3 linked regions of the Rhinolophus ferrumequinum genome follow. The protein of the gene in region 1 interacts with the protein of each later gene in a biochemical or structural test. Links are inferred from orthologs where the notes say so. Each region holds a gene or a part of one and is shown on either strand. Other genes may lie near its edges. The genes, in order: UBA6, UBE2G2 and UBE2T.

What was found.
Region 2: the proteins of UBA6 (region 1) and UBE2G2 form a complex in vitro, tested with the Homo sapiens proteins (2 studies listed by BioGRID, with this or other methods). The link is inferred for Rhinolophus ferrumequinum from reciprocal best matches to the Homo sapiens genes UBA6 and UBE2G2.
Region 3: the proteins of UBA6 (region 1) and UBE2T form a complex in vitro, tested with the Homo sapiens proteins (2 studies listed by BioGRID, with this or other methods). The link is inferred for Rhinolophus ferrumequinum from reciprocal best matches to the Homo sapiens genes UBA6 and UBE2T.

Annotation. Positions count from the first base shown.
Region 1 is NC_046288.1:26,811,308-26,818,849, forward strand, and holds the start of UBA6 (ubiquitin-like modifier-activating enzyme 6), read right to left. Parts: upstream 3,046-7,542; 5' UTR 3,008-3,045; coding exon 2,937-3,007; intron 1-2,936. UniProt on the Homo sapiens protein: Activates ubiquitin by first adenylating its C-terminal glycine residue with ATP, and thereafter linking this residue to the side chain of a cysteine residue in E1, yielding a ubiquitin-E1 thioester and free AMP.
Region 2 is NC_046285.1:107,865,876-107,873,550, forward strand, and holds the start of UBE2G2 (ubiquitin-conjugating enzyme E2 G2), read right to left. Parts: upstream 3,037-7,675; 5' UTR 2,956-3,036; coding exon 2,913-2,955; intron 1-2,912. Other genes in the region: SUMO3 (small ubiquitin-related modifier 3), read right to left, coding at 6,378-6,470. UniProt on the Homo sapiens protein: Accepts ubiquitin from the E1 complex and catalyzes its covalent attachment to other proteins. In vitro catalyzes 'Lys-48'-linked polyubiquitination. Involved in endoplasmic reticulum-associated degradation (ERAD).
Region 3 is NC_046310.1:425,911-432,888, forward strand, and holds the start of UBE2T (ubiquitin-conjugating enzyme E2 T), read left to right. Parts: upstream 1-3,976; 5' UTR 3,977-4,098; intron 4,099-6,337; 5' UTR 6,338-6,385; intron 6,386-6,486; 5' UTR 6,487-6,547; coding exon 6,548-6,656; intron 6,657-6,978. UniProt on the Homo sapiens protein: Accepts ubiquitin from the E1 complex and catalyzes its covalent attachment to other proteins. Catalyzes monoubiquitination. Involved in mitomycin-C (MMC)-induced DNA repair.

The sequences.
Region 1 (7,542 bases):
CCTACGCTTTCTGTGTGTACTGCAAAATTACAGCCCATGGTTATTTTCTCAGGTGTTGTTTTATCATTGCTACATATATTCTGATGAATCTATATTTTAACAATTTTGTTGGCGTGCCCCATAAACTTCTAATATACAGTATTCCTAGATAATCTTATTTGGTCCTTGGAATTTACCAATATACTGATAATATCTAAACTTATTACTCCATGTTTGATCTCTCCTGTAACCTCCAGCTTTTACACATCTGCCAAAGCAGTATCTATATTCTGTTGTTCAGTTAGTATCACAAATATAACAAGCCCAAAACAGAATTCAATCCCCCCTGCTTAATCTACTCTTCCCCAGTCTCTCCCAATTCAGTTTTTGGTACTACCATGTACTTGCTCAGGCCCAAATATCTAGGGATCTTAACTTTTTCCTTCATTTTCTCCATCTCTGAGTCCTGTTAGCTCTTCAAAAGAGATCTTAAATCTGATCACTTCTTATTATTTCAATCAGCATAATCTAAGGCCAAACCATCATCATATTTCACCTGCTGTATTTTCTTCAAATCACTTATCATTAACTGTGTATTAACTGTCTGCTTTCCCCTATAGAATGTATGATCCGTTAAGAATTCACTACTGTAAAAAAAAATTCACTACTGTATTCCATATACCTAAAACAGTACCTCGCATTTAATAATAACACTGTGCTCATATTGTTTTAATGCTTTAGATGTTATAACTCAGTTAACCCTTACAATAACTTTATGAAATAGGCACTATTACCATCTCCACTGAATAAAGGGGGGGAAAAACGAGGGTGACAAACGTTAACTTAAATAACCTGCTGAAAGTTAGGGCAGGTAAATGGCAGAGTCAGAATCTGAACCTCAGCAGTCTAGCTGTTGACCAACACTCAATACTGCCTACTGCCTCTCATAGTAGGAATATCAAAAACACTCAAAAAATATGTTCAATGAGTTTTAAAAATTAAAAAGTTAAACATACTAGTATGACAAGACATACTTATAATGATATATATCATTTACCGCAGCCCATGCCAATATCTTCACAGCATGGCGTAGAAAGAAAAATGTTAATAGGATAAACACTGGGAAACAGAGATGGTTCCCTGGCACAGGGAATCAGCCTGAGGCATTTGGGCCTGAGCCACCATGACAGCTAAAATCAATATCATCTTAATAAAAGTGTAATATTGTGTTTCCCCAAAAATAAGACCTAGCCAGACCATCAGCTCTAATGTGTCTTTTGGAGCAAAAATTAATATAAGATCCGGTCTTATTTTAATGTGATATATTAATTTAATATATTAGACCAGGTCTAATCTAATATAATACCGGGTCTTATATAAGATAATATAATACCAGGTCTTATGTTAATTTTTGCTCCAAAGGATGCATTTGAGCTGATGGTCTGGCTAGGTCTTATTTTCGGGGAAACACGGTTATCTATTCCAGGTTCTGGGAAACTCTAATTATCAATTACAGGATTCTAGAAACAATGTGATAGAAAGAAATTCAGTTTTAGAATCCAGTTTTCTAGGCCTGGTATTGATATACAAGCCAAAGGATTTGTAAATATAGTTAATCAAAATGTTATCATTTATCTTACCAAACACTGAATGGTAGCATCAAATGATACCTGCTTCTAGCTAATTAAATGGGTAACTATTAAAAATATTCCTGATTGTAATCATGAAATCAAACCAGAAAATAGCTGTGTTTGTCAGTTATCTAATAAAAACACACGCATACACTATAATACCCTGTTTTGGCATTGTAACAAAATATGAAAATAAAAAAATTACGTCTCACACAATTTTCTTATCCCTAGTACTTTCACTTGCTGTCTTCCTTGCATGGAGGGCAATAGCCTAGTGGGTAAAGCTCTTAAGTAAAAATGAGAAGAGTTACATTCTAATCAGCTATATCACTTAAAATGTCTGTCACGAGTCTACTTTTCAGAAAGTTCTGCCTTACTGGAATGTTTCAAAAATCATTTTTTATAATAAGGTCTATATGTTAATCAAAAACGCTTTACATAAGGGGAGTCGCTGTACTGCATAATATTCCCCAAGTGAATCTGGCAGTGTTGACAACAGCAGGCAATATCATGGTACAAAAATCATCCCTTTCAATCTGAAGCTGGTGAAAAAGTTACAGGTTTATGAAAGTCTTACTTTAGCTCAACATCACATACCCATCACCTTTAGCATATTGTATTCTGGTAATGGGCAGGATGCAACATCTCCTTTATTAATTATGAGGTGATTGAAACAAGAACTATACGAACATCCCACCCACTCCATAATTTTGCAGCAGTGGAAAAGACGTTTAGAACCTCAACCCCAACTGGGAAATAAAAATGAGTAACTCGTGTTTCTTTTCCCTGATTTTTTTTTTTAACTGTGGTCAACAGAGGACCTCAGGGTGTTCTGACAGCCACTGATTTCATTATTACCAACTTCTCTCTGATAATAGTTTTCAAAGGAGAAACTCCATGGAGGATCACGCACAGAACTTTTAGCTTTCATTTTACCAAAAGGAGGGAAGAAGGTGTTAGGCAACCAGGTCTGGGAAAGCTCACATCAAACGACCCGGGCCAGAACTCTCGGCTGGAGCCCTCCCCCCGGCACCCTTCCCGTCCGGTAACTAGGAGGAAGGAGGATGGCAGACCCCGACCGCAACTGAGAAAGCGCTGAAACCGATGAGAAGTGGACTTTTTCCTCAGAGACGCCGGGAGCCGCAGAGGTCGGAGCGCAGGCCGCCACACCCACCCCGCGCGCTCCCCTCGCCTCCCCGGGCCGGCTCTGCCTGGCCCCGCGGCCTCACGAGAGCTCTCTCCCCACCCGACGGGGAGAGAAACAGAAAGCTGGCGTCCGGGTCCCCGCCATCCCTCGTTTCTTCGCTCCCACACGCGTCCTCTCACCTGCCGGCTCCCCATGAAGAGCAGGATGCCTCTTCCGGCTGAGGTGCGACCACCGGTTCGGATCTCTCCATGGTCCAGTGAAGTCGCCGCCTCCGGGTACAGGGAAGGGGGCGGGACCGCGGGGGTCAAGGGGCGGGCAGTGACATCACCGGAGGGGGCGGGCCTGGGGAGCGCGCAGGCTGGCCGCGCCTTCCCATCAACCCCCGGGACGTCGTGATTTCCGGTTTGGGTGTGGTCTCGGAGGGGGCTTTGCAGCAGGTGGCTGCAGTGACCGGCGCTGGTGTGACCCGGATCCGCAAGTGAAATCAAAACAGTAAAGTTATGCGTGGTCACCTCTGGCTCATCGGCCAAGCACAGAGCATTCTAGTGGCCAACGAAATGGTGGGGCTGCGTAGCAAAATTCTTGTATTTTGTAGCGAGAAGAGGAAACCTCTTCATTTCGTAAATAAATAACGAAGATTAGTAATAGGCAACTCCAGGTTTCCATCTGAAATTTCATTTTAAGACGTTGTACGTTTAACAGATAATTTTGGGCGTATACTACATGTCAGGCACTGTCACAGGTTTAAAAGAATCGTGATATTGAGAGCTATAAATGACATGTCATCAGTGTGCCCCTTCACTTTTTGGGTGGAGGAAAGGAACTTCTAGTCAGTGTAAGTGACTTGGTCAAGGTCAAAGAGCTGGTCACAGAGCTATTCACTGTCAGGTTAAGTACCAGAACACATGTCTAGGAACTTCTCATCTAATTCTTTTTCCATTGACTCCCCTTCACCTTTCTTAGAAAACAAAAGTTAGCGGGACACTATTATATTAGGATTTGTCTTTCATTCTAAATAACTATATTTGAAGAAACAGGTGTAGGATTAAAAAATTAGCATATGCTTTGACTTTGTATATATTATATATCTTTTGCAATGCATGATATTTTTACTTAATTAGAACTTCTTCCTCTAGTGTGCAGAGAGGGTCCAGGCAAAGCTGCATTATCCTTTGTGCCTTTCCATTCTCTTTTCAAAATTATACATCTCCAAATACCTGGAAACTTAATGCTGTTCACCTGTGGCATCTTTCAGATTTCTCAATCCAGTTGTGTACCTTTTCTACATAACCACTAGAATGACCTTGGTCTATGTCCCATTCTTTCAAGGTTCTGCTCTAGCACTAACTGTATCCCTGTCTTTACTCTTTATTCTAAAGTTAATAAATATAAATATCTTTGTCCCACCCCACAGATAATGCCAATTTCTGTATTTCCTTCCAATTCCCCCCTCATTTCTTTCCTTCCTAAATATTGAATACCTATTAAACGTTAGGAGCTAATGATTAGACAATAATCAGGCGATAGACATACAGTGATCCCTGATTTTGTCAGTCTCACTATGGGAAGCCAAAAAATGTAAAATGAATGAAATTATAATTTCAGAAAGTAAATATAATGAAATTGAAAAAGGGCAAGGAGATAGAAAGTGACTTGGGGATGAGGCGGAAGACAATTTTTGATAGTCAGACAGGTTCTTTGAGGAAGTGACATTCGAGCCAAAACCTAAATGGTGTGAGCCCTGCTAGATATTCTAGCAGAAGAGTATTCTAGACAGATGGAAATGCAAATGTAAACTTCTTTTATTTTCTTTTTTAGCATCCACCATGTTTCCCAGAAAATTAGACCTCGCTGGACCATCAGCTCTAATGCATCTTTTGGAGCAGAAATTAATATAAGACCTGGTCTTATTTTACTACAAGACCAGGTATAATATAATATAATTAATATAATATCGGGTCTTATGTTAATTTTTGCTCCAAAAGGTGCATTAGAGCCGATGGTCTGGCTAGGTTTTACTTTCGGAGAAACACGGTATCACCTTCTGGTGTATATTTATTTGTTTATTTGTATATTGCCACTCTACCTTTAAAAGAGACTGGGCTTTCCTGGAAGGGGAATTTGATGTGAGAGAGATTTTCCCTTGCTGGCTTTGAAGAGGGAAGGGAATGCATGGAAACAAATGAGAATGGCTTCTAGGAGCTGAGAGTCGCCCCTAGCTAGCAGTCAAAAAGGAAATGGAGATCTTGGCCTACAGCTGCAAGGAACTAAATTTGGTCAACAACCTCTGTGAGCTTGGAAGAAGAACCCAAGCTCCAGATCAGAACACAATTGGCTGATACATCGATTTCAACCTTGTGAGGCTCTGGGCAGAGAACCCAGCTATGCTGTGCCCCAATTCTGACCTGCAAAACTGTGAACTAATAAATTTATGTGGTTTTAACCCACTATGCTTATGGTAATTTGTTATACACAGTATGATATGAATATACTGCATTTCATCTAAGACCCACATTTCTTCACATTTTAACATCCCTGAAATTAGAATGCATTTTTTTTATTAATACAGAAAACAATAATGTTCTTAAAATTGAGGTCATCTTACATTTGATGAAATATGGTGTGAATAATTTCAAACATACAATATAACAAATACCTGGATTTAACAGATTTTAATGTTTTATCACATTTGTAAAATGGAAAAGAAAATTGGAATATCACCAGACTTTGACAGTGAAACTTTTTTGACAGAAGAGAATGGAATAACATTTAGAATACTCAAGGAAAAAAGTGTGGGCCAAGGAATTTGTATCTAGCAAATCAACTCTCATGTACAAAGGGTATAAACTATTATCAATGCTTGATATGATACCAACATTTGATGAGACTATTGTTCCCATGAACCCTTCCTAAAGAATTATTAGAGAATGATCATCAGAAAACTAAAATGATTAGAGAAGCATCAGCCTAAGGATTCTTTACAGAAGATTTCTTTACGGAAAATATCAATCTGTTGTGTTTACTAGCTTTTGTGTTCCCTTTAGTTTATTTCTGTGACTAATTTTCCTGTTTCTGTCACCTCATTTCTGAGTTTTTCTGATTTCTCCCAGCTTTATTGCAATATAATTGACAAATAAAACTAAGATATTTAACGTGTACAATGTGATGATTTGATATAGGTATACACTGTGAAAGGATCCCCCATTGAGTTGATTGAGATTTTCTAATTCCGAATCACGTTCTTTCATACCGTGTATCATTTTCTTAATCTCATTTAGCTAGTTTCAAAATATTAACTTACAGTTTTGATATATTTTTGTGGCACATCTTTCAGGCATACTTTCATTATCTGTAATGATGATGTTATGTTCCTTACTCTCTTTTTTCCTATAATAACTGTATAGGACAAAAACCTGATACTTTTTGGTTGCTCATTTTTATGTGACATTAATGTTCCTGAACTTTTAATGTGAGACAGTCTTCCTAGTCCAATAAGCCTAGGTCCATCAAGAACAAAACTGTATCCCAAGAAAGTCAGGTTTCTATCCATTGCAAGGAGGTACTCCAACATTCCAGAAGAACCATGAACTGCCTCACTAAATGTTTAGGAGAACTTAAAATGAAGTTTTAAAATGTTTTAATAGGCTCAAAAGGAAGCAAGGCTGTATGTAAAGGGTCTACGTTAGGTCTGGACTGCAACATGGACCCAGGATGCTTTTTTTCTTGAAAACTAAAAGGTTAAAATAGATGTTTCCACAAACACTTTTCTGAAGTTCTGCCCCTGGATTGGAAGTAGAGGCTATTTCTTTGCATCATAATTATTTAGATCTTCTAGCCAAGAGTGGGATATTTCAATTTTTTAAATGGTTTTTATTAAAATATAGGTAGCATACAATATTATATTAGTTTCAGGTGTATGTCATAGTTATTCAACAGTACCCACCTGGCACTATACATAGTTATTAACATATTATTGGTTATATTCCCTCTGCTAAAGAAGTGATCACCACGATAAGTCCAGCAACAATCTGACACTGTACCACACTATCACAATATTACTGACTGTATTTCCTATATTGTATATTACATCCTCAGGACATACTTGTTTTATACCTGGAACTTTGAACCTCTTATTCTCCATTAGCTTTTCTCCCCTTTTAGAATTTTTCAATTATAGTTGACATTCATTATTATTTTATATTAACTTCAGGTGTGCAGCATAGTGGTTAGACATTTATATAATTGAAGAAGTGATCGCCTTAACTAGTACCTCCCCTGGCACTATACATAGTTATTACCACGTTATTGATTATATTACCTATGCTGTGCATCCCCATGAGTATTTTATAACTACCAATTTGTATTTCTTAATCCCTTCACCTTTTTCACCCTGCTCCCAACCTCCCTACCATCTATCATTCCAACAAATCTAGTACCCATCTGACACCATACATAGTTATTACAGTATTATTTACTATACTCCCTATGCTATATCCTACACCCCCATGACAGCTGTGTAAGAACCAATTTGTACTTCTTAATCCCTTCCCCTTTTTTACCCACCCCCAAACCCCCTCCCTTCTGGCAACCATAAAAATATTCTCCGTATCTATGAATTTGTTTCTGTTTCATTTATTTTGTTCTTTAGATTCCATTTATAAGTGAAAATATATAACATTTGTCTTTCGCTGTCTAACTACACTCAGACAATACCCTCTAGGTTCATCCATGTTGTCACAGATGGCAAGATTTCATTCTTTTTTTACAGCTGAGTAATAATCCATT
Region 2 (7,675 bases), on another chromosome or scaffold:
AGCAAGAGTAGGGGCTCAGTTTTATACACGTGAGTTTGGGGTTCCTACTGCACTGGGTTCATTAATGTCCGCCAGAATCTGTGACAGTGACCTCATCTGGAAATGGGGGCCTGATGACGAACTCAAGTTCCAATGAGGTCACACTGGACTAGGGTGGCCCTAATTCACTGACCGGCACTTTTATAGGAGGGAAGATGCCACGTGAAGACAGAGGCAGAGACCGGAGTGACACCACCACAAGCCAAGGAATGCCAAGGATGGTGGCAGCCACCGGAAGCCAGAAAGGCGAGAAGGGCCTTTCCCCAGGGCCTTCAGAGGGAGAGCGGCCCTCCTGACACCTTGATGTGGGACTTCCGGCCCCAGAACTGTGAGAGAACACGTGTCTGTCGTGTTAAGACACCCCCTGGTGCACTTTGTTAGGGCAGCCCCGGACACTCAAACCCAAGTCTACCTCTGCCGTCCTGGGAAAGGCCAGGGGAGGAGTGAAGACAAACATCTAAACAAGGCATCCGTTTAAAACACTGCGTTCTTTACCTGGCTCCTTTTCTCGTGTTAAGAACCGAAGCAAATCATTTTGCCTCTCCAGTGTTCAACTTCCTGTAAAAGCGGGGGCCTGGGCAGAATCATAGCCAAGGTCGACTGCACTCCTGCGACGGTGACGGACGGACAGCACGCCTGGCCCTGACCCTGGCCAAGCCTATCTAAGCCCCTGCCACAGGGCAGCTGATTGTGTGGGTGTGCCACCTTGCAGACTGGTAGGAGGACGAACTAGACGCTAAGACACAAAAGACAAGAATCAGTCAGTGGAACATGACCACGTTACTAAGACACAGCAACAACAACACCCCTCAACAACAGACTTCACTTCCTATCGCTCACAGGACAACTCACCACACACTCAGTGGCTTACAGCAACCCCCCACGACGCGCTTCCTGTGTCAGAGGCTGGGCAGGAAGGTTCTCTGCTTAGTCTCACAAGGCAGCAGTCAAGGTGTTGGCAGGGCGGCCCCCCAAACCCATTCCGGGTGTTGGGGAATTTGGTTCCCACGGCTGTAGGATGAGGTCCAGGTTCCTGGCTGCTCGGCCAGGGACCATTCATTCTCAGGTTCCACCTTCCTGAGCTCCTGGCCCCTCTTCCCAGTTCCCCTCCTCAGGACCTCCTCTCCCGCCTCTCCTCTCCTGCCTTCCCCTTCTGTGTTGGGGCCTCGTGCGATTACTGGGTTGCACCCTGATAATCCACGATAATCGTCCTGTCTTAAAGTCAGGTCGTTAGTAAGCCAGTTACAGCTGCAAAGTCCCCTCTCAGCAGAGCCTAGGCTGGTGTCCCACTGCGTAAGCGGGGACAGGGATCTCGGGACATGTGTACACTTCTGCCGGCACAGGCTCCCACGTGCCACATATTAACACGCACACATAATACACTTCTGTGATACAGCTTTGAAAGTCAAATATTATATACATTCCATTACTGCAAACTGACAACATGGTTGAAATAATGGATGAAGCTTTGAGTGAAGAGAAAAATCGCCCTGGCCAATGCAAATATCCTGAGGAAATACAAGTTCAACAAAACAACGACTGGACTGAAGCAGCAGCCGGAACTTCATTCCCGTGAAGGGGCTTAACAGATTCCTTCTCCACAGAAACAAGAAAGATAATACTCACTCGTGGTCTAGAAACAAGGCCAAACAGACTAAGCCAGACACAGAAGCACAGAGCAGGGTGGCAGGGAACCGAAGGACTCCCAGGAGACAGAGGCCACAGCCCCCACCTCACCCCCGTGTCCCCTCACTCTCAAGTCTCCCGGAAGCATCTGTTCCTACTCCAGAGGGCCCAACGTGGAGAGTATTGTCCAAATTATTTTATTGCGCCTGCATCTGCGACAGTTTGCTAATCACCTCTCCCCACGCAGTGCCACCAACATGGTTTAGGAAACTGAGCTGCATGCATATGTATCAATTATTTTCATTAAGTCATTATTTTCAACTTTCTTCCGAAGGTACGTGCAATGTAACTACAACAACAACATCGAACATGATCAAGAGCTACCTATGAGGTCTGTCGTGAGGCGTTCGCGTCTCCAGGTGAGGGACGCGCAGAGGCGAAGGGGCGAGCCAAGGTGGGAGAGCCGGGAAGCACACGCAGGCCCTGCTGTCACCCAGGAGCGGGCTGCCACTCGGGCCCCCAGCTCAGAATGGCACCCCCGGGCGGGTCACGGCAACTGTCCCGGGAGCATTCCGCGGGCTGGACAGAGGGACGGCTCGGGAAGCACTAAGGCGCTTTGCTGAGCACTGCCTAGGAGGACGGGGGTGGCACCGTCCAAACGCTCCGCTCCTTAGGCGAGAAAACCAGAACGCGACCTTTCACCGCGAACTCACCACAACGCGCTTCTCCCCTAAACCGGCCCTTTAAGTTCTCGCGGGCACTTTCGGCTTCGCTGCCCCCTCCCCGCACGCTGGAAGCAGGGAGTTCTCTCCATTACCGAAAGGGCCAAAGCCAGAACTAAGGAACAAACGGACACTGGACGTCACTCCTGACGCATTTCTAAACCAAGGCGGCAGGAACGTGGCCTCGCCCCTCCCGAGCGCTCTCCGCACCACGTACCGACACCGGGAGAGGAGGCGCAGCCCGGAGACCCTGCGGCTCCCAAGTTACCGCCACAAGACGCGCTCGCTCCTCCCGTGCACAAAGGGGCACGCTCCGTGCGGCGAGGAGTCCGACCCCGGGGCCCGCACACCGCCCAGAGGCGGCCCGCAGCGCCCCCGGCCCGCGCGCCCAGGGCCTCTCGGAGCAGCGGCCGGGGACGGGGGCCCAGGGCCGGGGCCGGGGCCAGGGAGGCCGAGCCAGGGCGGCACGAGGGGCCGGGAGGAGGCACGGCGCCGCCCAGGGCTCCGCGCCGGCCCGGAACTCACGTTTGTACTCGGCCATCAGCCTCTTGAGCGCCGTCCCCGCCATCGTCGGGGTAACAGCTGTGCGGTCCGGCCTTGCCTCCGAAGCGCTCGTATCCTCCCGCCCGAAGCCCGGGTTGCTTCCGGGTCGCCGGCCGGACGCAGAAGCCCTTCCGGGGCGCGGCGCGCGCGTGCGCAGTGGCGGGCCGGCGGGCGGGCGCTGTCGGGGGCGCGGCGGGGCCGCTGTGGCCCCGAGGTCGGGTGAGCGGGGGTGACGCCCGGCCCCTCAGCCGCTTTGTGGGGTCAACGCCGCTTCCGGCGGCCCTTATACCTGCGGGGCCCTGGTTTCCCCAGAAGATCCTGGGCGACAGGCGCACACTGTCCCGTCACACTGGCCGCAGGAGGGTCCGATGGAGGACGGGACCGGTGGCTGGGCGATGGACTGCGGGCTGGGCAGACGTCATTCTGGTGGGGTGTTTTTTAGAGACCCCAGGAGGAGGGGTAGAGAAGGAGGCGGCTGCAGTCGCTGAAGCGGCCACTGCACGTGGGCGCGACGGGCGGGCGCGCTCGCCGGCACCCCTGCCCTAGGGGCAGGTTACTGACGCCAGGCCCAGGGGCGAAGGAGACCGGCTCCGAAGACATCCACACATCGATGCCCCGACTACCTCCCGACAGGGGACAGGGGTTAGGTTTGGAAAGAGAAGGTTGGTGACGGTGGTGGCGTTATTCCGCGTCATCGCGGCCCAGCCGGGACTCGGGGTGCCCAAGACTTGGCCCCCACTGGAGACCCGAGCCGCAGCCAGCCCGCTGCCTGCCGAGGATGACAGGGTTCTGAGTAACAGGTGATGTCTCATGGCTCCCTAAGCATCGCACCTTGGGGAGGCCAGCAAGTTAGAAAAAAATTAGTCTTTTGTATTTTGGCAATTAAAGTTCTGAAATATAAAAAGTATGTCACGGCTGAACCCGTGTTTTAAGGTGGAGCATTAATATGCTTCGCCACCTGTAAGTTTATGCAGGACGACGGTGGGGTTTTCAGTGCTGACATGGGGCAGTGCCAGCTGGGATCTGGAAACCAGTTAACAGGATAAATACAGCTATCTCCTCCTGAAGCATGAATTTAACCCAAAGATCTTGGGATTTAGATGTGTAACTTACCATTTTTAAAATATTAATACTGAGAGCTGTTATTCCAAATGCACCATTTGCATAAATTTTAAGAGAAAAGACAACCTCAAGGACAGCTTCCTTCTCCGGTCAGGTGTGGGGGACTTCAGGCAGCACTGCACTGTCGCACCTGCAGCTCAGCACTGCTCACTCCACTGAAGGCACAAATGCAGGGGCCCCTCTGTGAGATGTACCCGCCCCCAGCTTTTCCAGGGCACCTGCAAATGACTCACCCCTGTAATGTGCTTCAGCCCACCTCCTTTTGCTGGTGTAAGCCTGGCTAGAGCGCACTTTTTCCCAGCTACTCTTGACCCTCACCTGATGGACTAAAACAGCTCACTCCCTTTCACCCCTGGTTTTGTCACAGCAGAGTCCACTGGAAGTCCTCTGTCAACTTAGCATCAGTTCACTCAATTTCAAAGAGTAGCTTGTCAACCGCACAGAGGAAAATAGAAGTCTGACAGTCAAGTACCCAACAACGTGAGCCACCCAGCCTGATGTCCAGATCCACTGCCTCCAAAACCCACCCTCTGGGGCGACCGGATGGCTCAGTTGGTTAGAGCACAGGAGCGCGAGCTCTGAACAGGGTTGCGGGTTCCATTCCCACATGGGATGGTGGGCTGCACCCCCTGCAACTAGAGATTGAAAACAGCAACTGGACTCGGAGCTGAGCTGCGCCCTCCACAACTAATTGAAGCACAACTACTTGGAGCTGATGGGCCCTGGAGAAACACACTGTTCCCCAATATTCCCCGGTAAAATTAAAAATAAATAAATAAATAAAACCCACCCTCTCTTCACGAGACACCGAGGAGACACCCAGGAGAGGAAAAGTCCATCACAATGCATCCCAATGCATCCCAATGCCCGTTTGGCTCACCTGTCACGGAAGAGCTTCGGGAGGAGACAGGATGGCCCCCTCGGCCCCAGCCCAGCAGGGGTGTGGGGAGGGGTGCAGCAGGTGGATACTTACTTTTCAGCAACTAGCCTTTAAATGGAAGTCTGGGTGGCCTCGCTGAATGGTCACTACAAATGCTGAATTGTGACAGTCAGCCCCAACCTCCAAATGCAGTATTTAATACAAGAGACAGAATACCAAACTATATTTACTGTTTACAGTAGTAAAGGACAACAAAGAATGTACAAACTGGTGAATTAACATGGCCAGCAGACACCCCACCCACACCCCAACAGCAAAACACAAAGGAAAGGCAAGATTCCGGGCAAGCAAGAGATGACAGTCATGGTCGCACTGTCCAGGTGACAGAACGAGGCAGAGCAGGGCCACCAGGCAGCAGTGGGTCCGTACAGAGGGAGGAGGGGAACTAAAAGTTTTAACAGGTACAGATCCCCAAACGTTTCACAGACTGAAGTCACAGCTACGGTTTGGGAAGCAGCAGAGCACAGCCCTCGAGAGGGACAGGAAGTTGTCTCTGCACAGGCCGTGTGACCACACTTGGAAACAGCTTTTACACAAAACGTCACTGCAAATTCAGCAATACTTAATCGTACTTTTTTATATCAAGACCATAATTATTCATCAGAAGCAAATACCAGAAGAAATCTGAGCGTACTATCACCAAGTGAGAAATGTGGGGACTGCTTTCCTCTGTAGTAAAAGGGGAAAAGCCCATTTCGCTGTGCCAGGCTTCGCCCATGCAGTGTCACGGCCACTGCACCCACCCTCACCCGAGGGGACTCTGGTGGAACAGAGCACCCAGGGCCATGTTACTGAGGGACTCACTTATTTTCCTTTTTACCTTTTAGAAAACATTCCAATATTCTCCCTTCAACTCTACCATATTCTCACAAAACTTAAATTTGTAACATTTGGCATTTAAAAAAACCTGTGCCTACAAGAAATAGTTAAGTGGAAGTTTGTCTCCCACCCCCACCATGCCCCCCGACTTGTCCCACAGAAGCACCCCCACTGCAGTGACGTGAGCCCTCTATGTGACTGGAATAAGCAGTGGCGGGGTGGGGGGGTCAATACCTGGGAAAAGATCCCCGTCTAGACTAACAGTGGACCTTCAGGCCACAAGCTTGGGGAAATGTCATAGGAGGTGGGGGGGAAACAAAAATGAGAGCAAAAACAAACCCAAAAAACTCACGCTCATTTTCCTAAACAAAATGACAACTGCCTGGCCAGGTATTAGGCGAGGGTGTGTCCCTGCAGACAGTTCTGAGTTGCACCCGCGGGACGTCGCAGAGGAAAGGAATTTTGGTGGAGGTCCTCGGTTTCCGCAGACTCCTTTGTGATTCGCATGGTCACGTATTCACTATTCAACAGCAAACAAGGACGGTGACAAAGTGGGGCCGGTCCCTCTAGAGGCCGCATCCTGCGCAGCAGCCAGTCTTCCAGGAGCCTCCCGTCTGCTGCTGGAACACGTCAATGGTGTCTTCGTCCTCCATCTCCAGCTGGCAGGGTCGACGGGACAGGCACAGCAAGAGAGGGGGAAGCTGTTAGTTGTCACTCCATCAGAGGTACGGACACTGCTCTGAACACCGTGCCCACTGCAGTCCCCCTCACTAATGCACACCACCCCCCGCACTGGTCAACACTGCCCGATCACACCTATGCTCCGTGGCCTCCTCCCCGGGTCACAAGCAGGGAAAAGGCTTTGTCCAGAATTTCCTATAAGCCACTTACTCTCCAAGCTTCCCCTAACGAAATTCACAAAAGAATATTCAAAGCCGACTTTAACTGATAGCAAGGAAAACTAAGCCTCATTAAAAAATGAACAAGTATCTCAAATTCTTCCTGAAAATTAGACAAAGATTCCAATAAGGAACATCCAGTGAGCGGGGCCTCTTCATAACCAGGGCAGTGGGCGGTGCCTGCGGGTTCCAAAGCAAAGCCAATGAGCAAAGGACCCGCTGGGAGGGGCCACTGCTGCCCCCCCGCCCGGCCCCTCCCTGTCATGACCAGGCCCTACATGGGGCAAAAGCTCCCCACCTTCGCTTTCTGACAGCACGGGCACAGATGTCTACCTGATGACTGTCTATTCACGAAACTGAAGGAAGCTGCTACCAGTTTGTACAGAGACCAACCGGGCAGTAATGTTTCCCAGAAATGTTCTCAGAAATGCAGAGAAGTACCGTCTGGGCTGGCGGGTGCCCCAGACACCACGTGGGCGGGAGCCAGAGTGACAGGCGGGAGGAGAGCTTTCTAGCCCCCACAGTGCAAGCCCCCGAGGAATCCTCACAGAGCCAACCACTGTCTTAGCAGCAGCAGAGTCCCTCAAGAAGGTGGTAGCACGTCGCCTGCACATAGCTACTCAGACTGATGGGGACTCTGAAGGACCAGACACTCCAACAGAGTCTGGCTCTGGACTACGATGCCGTCGGGCTGTTGGGCTGGCGAAGGACAAGAACACAGCTTGAACCTCGGCCTCCACCTGCGACTGAAGCCTGCGACACGCTGGACCAACACTTACAGACAGGGTGGGGAGGGCAGGCGCTTACAAAAGCTAAGTGTGCCATGGATGACATGTGCACACGTCTTTCCACCCACACCCCTTGTGTGCAAATGCTCAGGGCAGGAGGAGCAAGCCGAGGGCAGGGACAGTGACTAATGCAAATTCCACGTCTAAGTCCGTGGGCCCCGCCCACCTGCCGGCGCC
Region 3 (6,978 bases), on another chromosome or scaffold:
AACTCAACTAGCAGTCACCTTAAAAGAAATGAGTAGGGAGTTTGACTAAGAAAACTGCTCCGGCAGAACAGTGAATCCCTGAAGGAACACATGGACTTCTCGGTGCTCTCTGAGCCCATGAAACGGTCCCTCCCGGAATCAGATCTCAACCTTAACATCCCAGGGACACGGGAAAAATAATATCCACCTTCTCAGAGTTCAGAAATTTAAAATGACGAACGTGGGCCTATCAGCATCCATAATATTTATATTCAGCTCTTTGTTAGGTGGGATGTAAAGCTCTAGAATTTAAATCTGAAAAGTCCATGCTTAATTTTCTCCTTTCGGATCTTGCCCAGGTCATGGTGCTGATTTCAGATTCCTCTCCTGGGAATAAACACACCACCTGGCACATCTACCTCAAAGGGTCACTGCTGAGATTCCCATGGGGAGAGGCATGAGAAATAAGTTCAAACAGCAGAAAGCCATACAAGTGTTGGTTGCTACTTCAGGGCACAGTTATGAGCAGAGAAGCAGCAGACACGATAGGGTGAAGAGAAGAGAAAGGATGCAAACAGGTGAGGAGTAATTTTAAGCTGCTGGCTGATCCACTGAGAGAAGTGCCACGACACAAAATTGACGTATTATTTAGAAGTGGGTTCCTGTGCCAACACATTCACTTTGCACTGACAGCAGAAGGAAAATAAGAAAGATTAAGAGCGGGAGTCCAGCTCGCAGCTCACCAAAATAACTATGAAGTTCCCCTCGGGGAGGGAGGGTGGAGTTAGTGGACAGGCGTATGTGCAGAATATTGTTGCACAGTGAGAGAAGTGAAGGTGTCACCAAGCCACGGTCTGGACTGCGCTAAATACAGAGCATGGGGTTTCTACAGAGGGCTTTGGGGGAAAGAAAACGAGAAAGGCCATTCCATAAGGTCAAACACACACAAGTGGCTCAGAAGGCCCGCAGGGAGGGAACTGCTAAGAAGAGAGTGAGACAGGGCAGCCAGGACGTCAGGGGGTGCTAGGCGCAGGGGCCGCAGGAGACAAGCTGCTTTCGAATCGTTACAAATCAGCCAAACGAGAGGTGTGGTTTCGGAAGGTCCGCTTCGTACCCCCAACTTGGGATTCACTCCTTCGGGGACCTGAGATTCCTGAACGGGGCCCCACGCAGAAAAGGGAGCTGTGTGCAAGGGCGTCTGTCGGCCGGCACTGCCCCCGCACGCAGGGACACGGCGCCCAGGCACGCGGACCTGCGCGAGTGAAGATGGCTAATCGTAGGGACACGCCCGGCCCGAGCCCCCAGTAACCATGACAACCCAAGCAGGTGCAGGGAAGTCCAAACACTGCCAGGCAGGTGGGGACCCCGGGGTCGGGCAGAGGCCAGGTGAGCGCAGCAGGCGGGCGCGGACACCACCGCGCCGGCGCCTCGGGGTCGCAGGCTCACCTGCAGGGACGGCGAGGGTTACCTGGTGCAGCGCTGTCAAGCCGTCCACGTTGGTCGTGTTGATGTCGGCTCCTCTGGCCAGAAGCCTCTTCACCTCGTCGGTGTCCCCGCTCGAGCAGGCGGCCAGGAAGACCGCGCCGTCCTCGAAGCGGACCCGGGGGCCCCCGCGGCGGGTGCGCGGCTGCCGCTCGGCGGGCTCCTGCTGGGTCTGCGAGCCCCGCCAGCGCCGCAGCTGCTCCGCCCGCCGCACACGCGCCGACTCGGCCCGCTTCCCGCCCAGGTGCTCCAGCTCGGCCATCGCTCGGGCTCGGCAGCCGCGGCTGCACTACCGCCACCAGGTCGCTGCCGCTCGCGCTGCCGCCGCCGCCTCCCCAGGAGCGCGTCAGCCGGGGGCAGAAGGCGGAGACGCCCGCGCCGCCATCTTTATTCCTCCGCCGCCAGCGCCGCCGCGCGTTCCCGCGGCCTCAGCACGCAGGCGCGCCGCGCCCCGGGGCGTCACGGGACTTGTAGTCCGAGACCCGCCCCAGGGGCGCCCCGTGGTCTGCAGGGAACCACAAATCCCTGGATGCATCAGGAAAGGGGCGAGTGCCCGCAGCTCGCGGCTTCGCCGCGGGACCCAGCGGCGGGGTCACCTTTGCCCTAAAGCTGGAACAGGCTCCTGGACCGGCGGCAGCTCTTTGGGCATTTTGGGAGTCGTAGTTTATTCTTGCTATGACTCTAAACTAAACTTGGCTCCTTAATTATCACATCAGCTCTTCTTTGCAGTGGAAGAGAGGCCGTAATTATCCCTATTTTCCATTGGGGAAAACTCGGCCTAAAGTACCTGGTCTAGAGTTTTATTAACATTATAACATATAATACATTAACATGCAGGTATCACCGTGTCAGTGTGCGCGCGGAGAAGGGCAGTCGTACACACAGTAGGTACTTTATAGCTTCTAATTAAGTCTTACGGCGTCTGTGTGAACCGTGAACAACAAGCAATGGGCATGAAAAGGTGTCATAATATAGACTTTATAAAGCCTTGCTTCCCTTACTATGTGCATTAACTTACAGCTACAAGATATAATTTGTGGACATTTAAATGTATAGTGAGCTGGCTATGATGTATATATATATATATATTCTTGTATAAAGTGAAGAAACGTAAAGTAAATTCCAGTGTTCGAATACTGCTTCCAAAAGCAGTGAGACCGGTACACAGTGTATGAAACTCCGCAGCCTGGCTTCTGTTCCCACCAGTTACCATCCTTCCCTCTGGTGGACAAATGGAAACTGCACATTTAGCCCGAGGAGTGTTTTCCGCTTTTCTTTTATCCGATCCTTTCGGTTTGGTGGCCGGAACAGCAGGTGTTTGCTCGTTTTGTCCTCCCAGCTCTCCTTTCCACCAGACTCAATGGAGTTCCTGCTTTTTCTAAGAGACACGTTTAAGGCGCGTTTCAAAGAGAACCGCCCGAGGAAGAACTCGATGTCAGTTCTGAAGACAGAACTGTACCTGAGACGCCGTTACACTTGGCGTCGGAAGAAAATAAGACCCTGAAGGGTTAAGCCAGAAAACGGCAGTCAGAACAGAGGCAGCCAACGCCAGAGTCGGGACCCAAACACTTCACGACGATGCCAGCCGGGAGCTACACGGGACGATAGCAGGACCCCGTACGTTTGTCCTCCACAAGCTGCTTTAGGTGGTCCCTTCCGCCGACCGGCGTGAGGCTGCCCAGGGCGGGAATCGGGCAGAGCCCTGGTGAATGTGTGGGTCTCTCGAGCAGAGGGCACAGACCGTGCGGTGGTCACGGGGGACCCGGCGTGGACTGAAAGCAGAAATCACCGCCGGGGTCCCTTTGGGGGACTGGCCGTCTCTGCTAAGCGATCACTGTTCCGAAGCCGGCAATGCGCTGAGAGCAGTGAGATGAGGGTGGGGTGGGGTGCGGCTGGGGGTCTATTCCCAGAGGCCGGTCGATTCCAGCCGGTCCTCTGGAGCCCCTCAGGTGTGGGCCTTCGCTGCGCCGGCTGATGTCAGCAGGCACGTCCCGGCTCAGGAGCCGGAAGGATCGGCCCGGCGCAGGATCCCTTCGCGGTGAGGGAGGAATCGCCGCGTCCCGGGGGCGCCGGTTCCGTTCTGAGTGCTAACGGCCAGGACGCCTCGCTGAGCTACATCTGCAATCCTTCACGTTCATCCATTGGTCTTAGGAGACGCGTCCTCGGAAGCACATCCTCCTCCAAAGGGAAACATTTAAAACAAACGACGGGAAGTACCACGATCCTCCGCGCCAGATCCAGTGTTCCCGCTCCCTTCACTGTCCCTCCGGCGAGGCTGTTCCCAGCGCCTGCCCCGCTCGGACCAACAGAGCCGGCCTCGGAACCGGCCTCAGCAGCAGCACCGCCGCAGGCGGCACTCGCCGACCAGAGCAGCCGGCGTCCCAGCGGAACCCGCAGCGTCGCGCGCTCCCACTTGAAGCGACGCGCCCCAGAGCGCGGGCCAATGGGCGGCTGCGCTCGTCTCCCTGCGTCGCCGCGGGCCAATGGCGACGCGCGCGGGCGGGAGGCGGGGCGACGCCAACACCAGCCGGCGCATGCGCGGGTGGCCCCGGGGTGTCGGGCTGGCGCGGAGAGGCGGTCGGCTCCGGGAGCGAGGGGCTCGGTCTCCGGTCCCTGCGGAGGTCCCGTGGGTCTGGGGTGAGTCCCCCTCCTGCCTGACGTGTGGATTCCGTCCGAGGAGGAGCCCTCGGGAGAGCGGCCGTGGAGCGGCGGGGCGGTCGGCCTGTGGGGAGTCGCACGGGCGGACGGACGCTCGCTGGCGGCGTCGGTTCGGGCCCCGCGCACCACGGGGCTGCCGCGCGCGAGGCACCGCTGACGGGAAAGCCACCTAACGCCACCAGGGACCCGCCCCGGACCGCGCCCCGTGACGGGCCGTCGGAGAGCGGCGGCGGCCGGCGCGGAGAGGGGGACGGCGTGGGGGCCCCGGGGCCAGGTGCCGCTCGGCGCGAGCACAGAAGCGGGGGCCGGGGGCCAGTGGGGGCCCCTTAGAGAAGCTGCCCTCCCGCCCCCCGCGCCGCGCCTGCCGGCCGCGGTCCCGCGTGCCTGGCGCTGCTGCTGTTGAGGTCGGGGAGGCTCTTGCTGAGAAAAGTCGTGGCAATCTGTCCGTAAGAGGCACCTGCAGACGGTGACGTCAGCTGCCTCGCGGCCTCACGGCGTTGGGGAAGCTTGGAAGTGGTTCAGGGAGGAATTTATGTGCAAGGCGGGTGTAGTATCCAGAGTAATTCTCCGACCGCATTAATGTTTCGGAAAGAGCGTGTTGCTCGTGGAGGAGCAGCGAGCCTGGAGATGAGGACAAGGCGAGCGCAGGACCGTGCGTTTCACCTTGGCCGCGGCTCCCGCGCGAGTCCTGACCCCGCCCCTGCACCGCCCTGCACACCTGTCAGTCACCGCAGGCCACGCCCACCGCGTCAGCTTCTGTTCTCGGTAGTTCTCCAAGTACAAACAGTTTAGGGAGAGAATGTGTGGGATTAAAGTTGTTGCTGCCGTTTCACAGATTAATAAATTGACCTTTTAATTACTGTTTAAGGCTTTGTCAGTGACCCTGGCATGACCTAGTACACATAAGCCGTGTGGACTTGAGGCTTGCTGCCAAACTGAGTTTTTAGGCTACAAAACTGAGAACCAGATCTGAAATGGCAGGGACCACGCCAAGACCACGTGTCCGTGGAAGGCCTACCTTGAAAAGGTGGCCTTTTTTCTTAACATGCCCACTTGATCTCTCACCATTTATTTGAAATCATTTATTAACTCAACAGTCACCTAAGCAATAAAGAAAGAAAATAGGAACTTTGCCATTTAAGAGCTTTCTAATAAAAGTTATTAATTATATATACCGTATCATGCATCTTTGACATTTAGTAGGGCTCTATCTTGAGATCTTTTTGAATCTTCAAATATACTGTAGAATTTTCCCTCAAAATATCGTAAAGTATAATTTGGAAATGTAAGTGACTCAGATCCTTACTGATGCTAGAAATGCAAGATTTGAAGTCATTTATATAGTTCTTAAATGCACATTTTGTGTTTTCACTCGTTAGCTGACAGGCATTTGGGCTGTTTCCATTTTTTAGCTGTTATGAATAATGCTGCTATGAACATTTGTGTACAGATTTGTGCACAGATGTGTGTTTTCAGTTCTCTCGAGTGTAAACCTAAGAGTAGAACTGCAGGATCCCAAGGTCGTCTGTGTTAAACACTGGGAGGAGCTGGCAGGCTCTTTTCCAAAGCAGCTGCATCATTTTGCATTCCCCGGTAACGTATGAAGATTCCAGTTTCTCCACATGCTCCAACACTAGACACCATCTTTTTGATTATAGTTATCCTGGCGGTGTGAAGTTCTAGCTCATTGTGGTTTTGATTAGCATTTCCCCTAGTGACTACGATGTTGGGCATCTTTCCATACGCGACAGCTCTTCTATTCCACTTGGCACTGGGAGTTACAGGCAGGAGAAGGATTGGAAGGGAAGAAACCAGTGAGGCCTTGTGGGCTGGCTGTGTAGTTATCAACCCCAGCCTCACCACCCAAGTAGATCATCATTTGCATTGTTAAACTTTTGGTTACAAATCAGTTACATTTACATCCACCTCAGACACTTCAGCATTAGCTTATAAATGTCTCAGAGTCATGGCTCTGTCTGTGTCACTCTCCTTGCCACGCACACGTAGGCTTCCTCCCGCAGCTGGTAGTTGTCCATCCCTTTCTGTGCCAGCCGTGCTGAGGATGCTGCGTGAGCAAAATTAGACCCCGGCTCTGCCTCAGGAGCTTATAGTTTATCAGTGGAAACAGACCTCGATCTAAAATAGCTAGTCTTCTTGTTGTTCGTAGGACTTTTTGCATCTTTTATACTTTATTTTTAAAATTTGTTTGCTTAAATAGGTAACAAGAAGGAATGGAAAAGACTCCAACTCCCTTCTCAGAATAGGGGTTGGTATGAGGAATCTCTGTCCTTCATTTAATTGAAGCCATGTGCTAAAAACCCCCGTCATCCGTGCCGTCTATTTCATGGTTGTCCCTTTTCTCCCTAGAGTCCAGCCAGCTTTTCGTGTGGCCTAGTGAACTGTGTGGGGTTCCTGTTACTTGGGGATCATGCAGAGAGCATCACGTCTGAAGAGAGAGCTGGACCTATTAGCTGCGGAGCCACCGCCGGGCATCACATGCTGGCAAGACGGGGACCAGATGGGCAATCTGCGTGCGCGTAGGTACCAGCACGCTGGTGGTGGGTCATGGCGCTGCTGATGGTGCTGGGATCTGTACATTCCTGTGAAGTGGGGAACAGTGCGAGGGCAGCTGCCCACTGGCCTTCCCTGAGCTTGTTTGCATTTATAGAAGGTTGGCTTGGCACTTCTTCTTTGGCGTTACGTTACACCTGCTCACGTGTAGCCAAGATTTGGGCTTCTGCTCTGAAGCAGCATTTATCTCATATCTGTGAGGCTGGACAGGAAACGAAGTGCTTAGAGTCCGCAGTCCAGACAAATCAGATGTGCAGGCCGTGTCCTATCCATGGCCCTCATATTCCA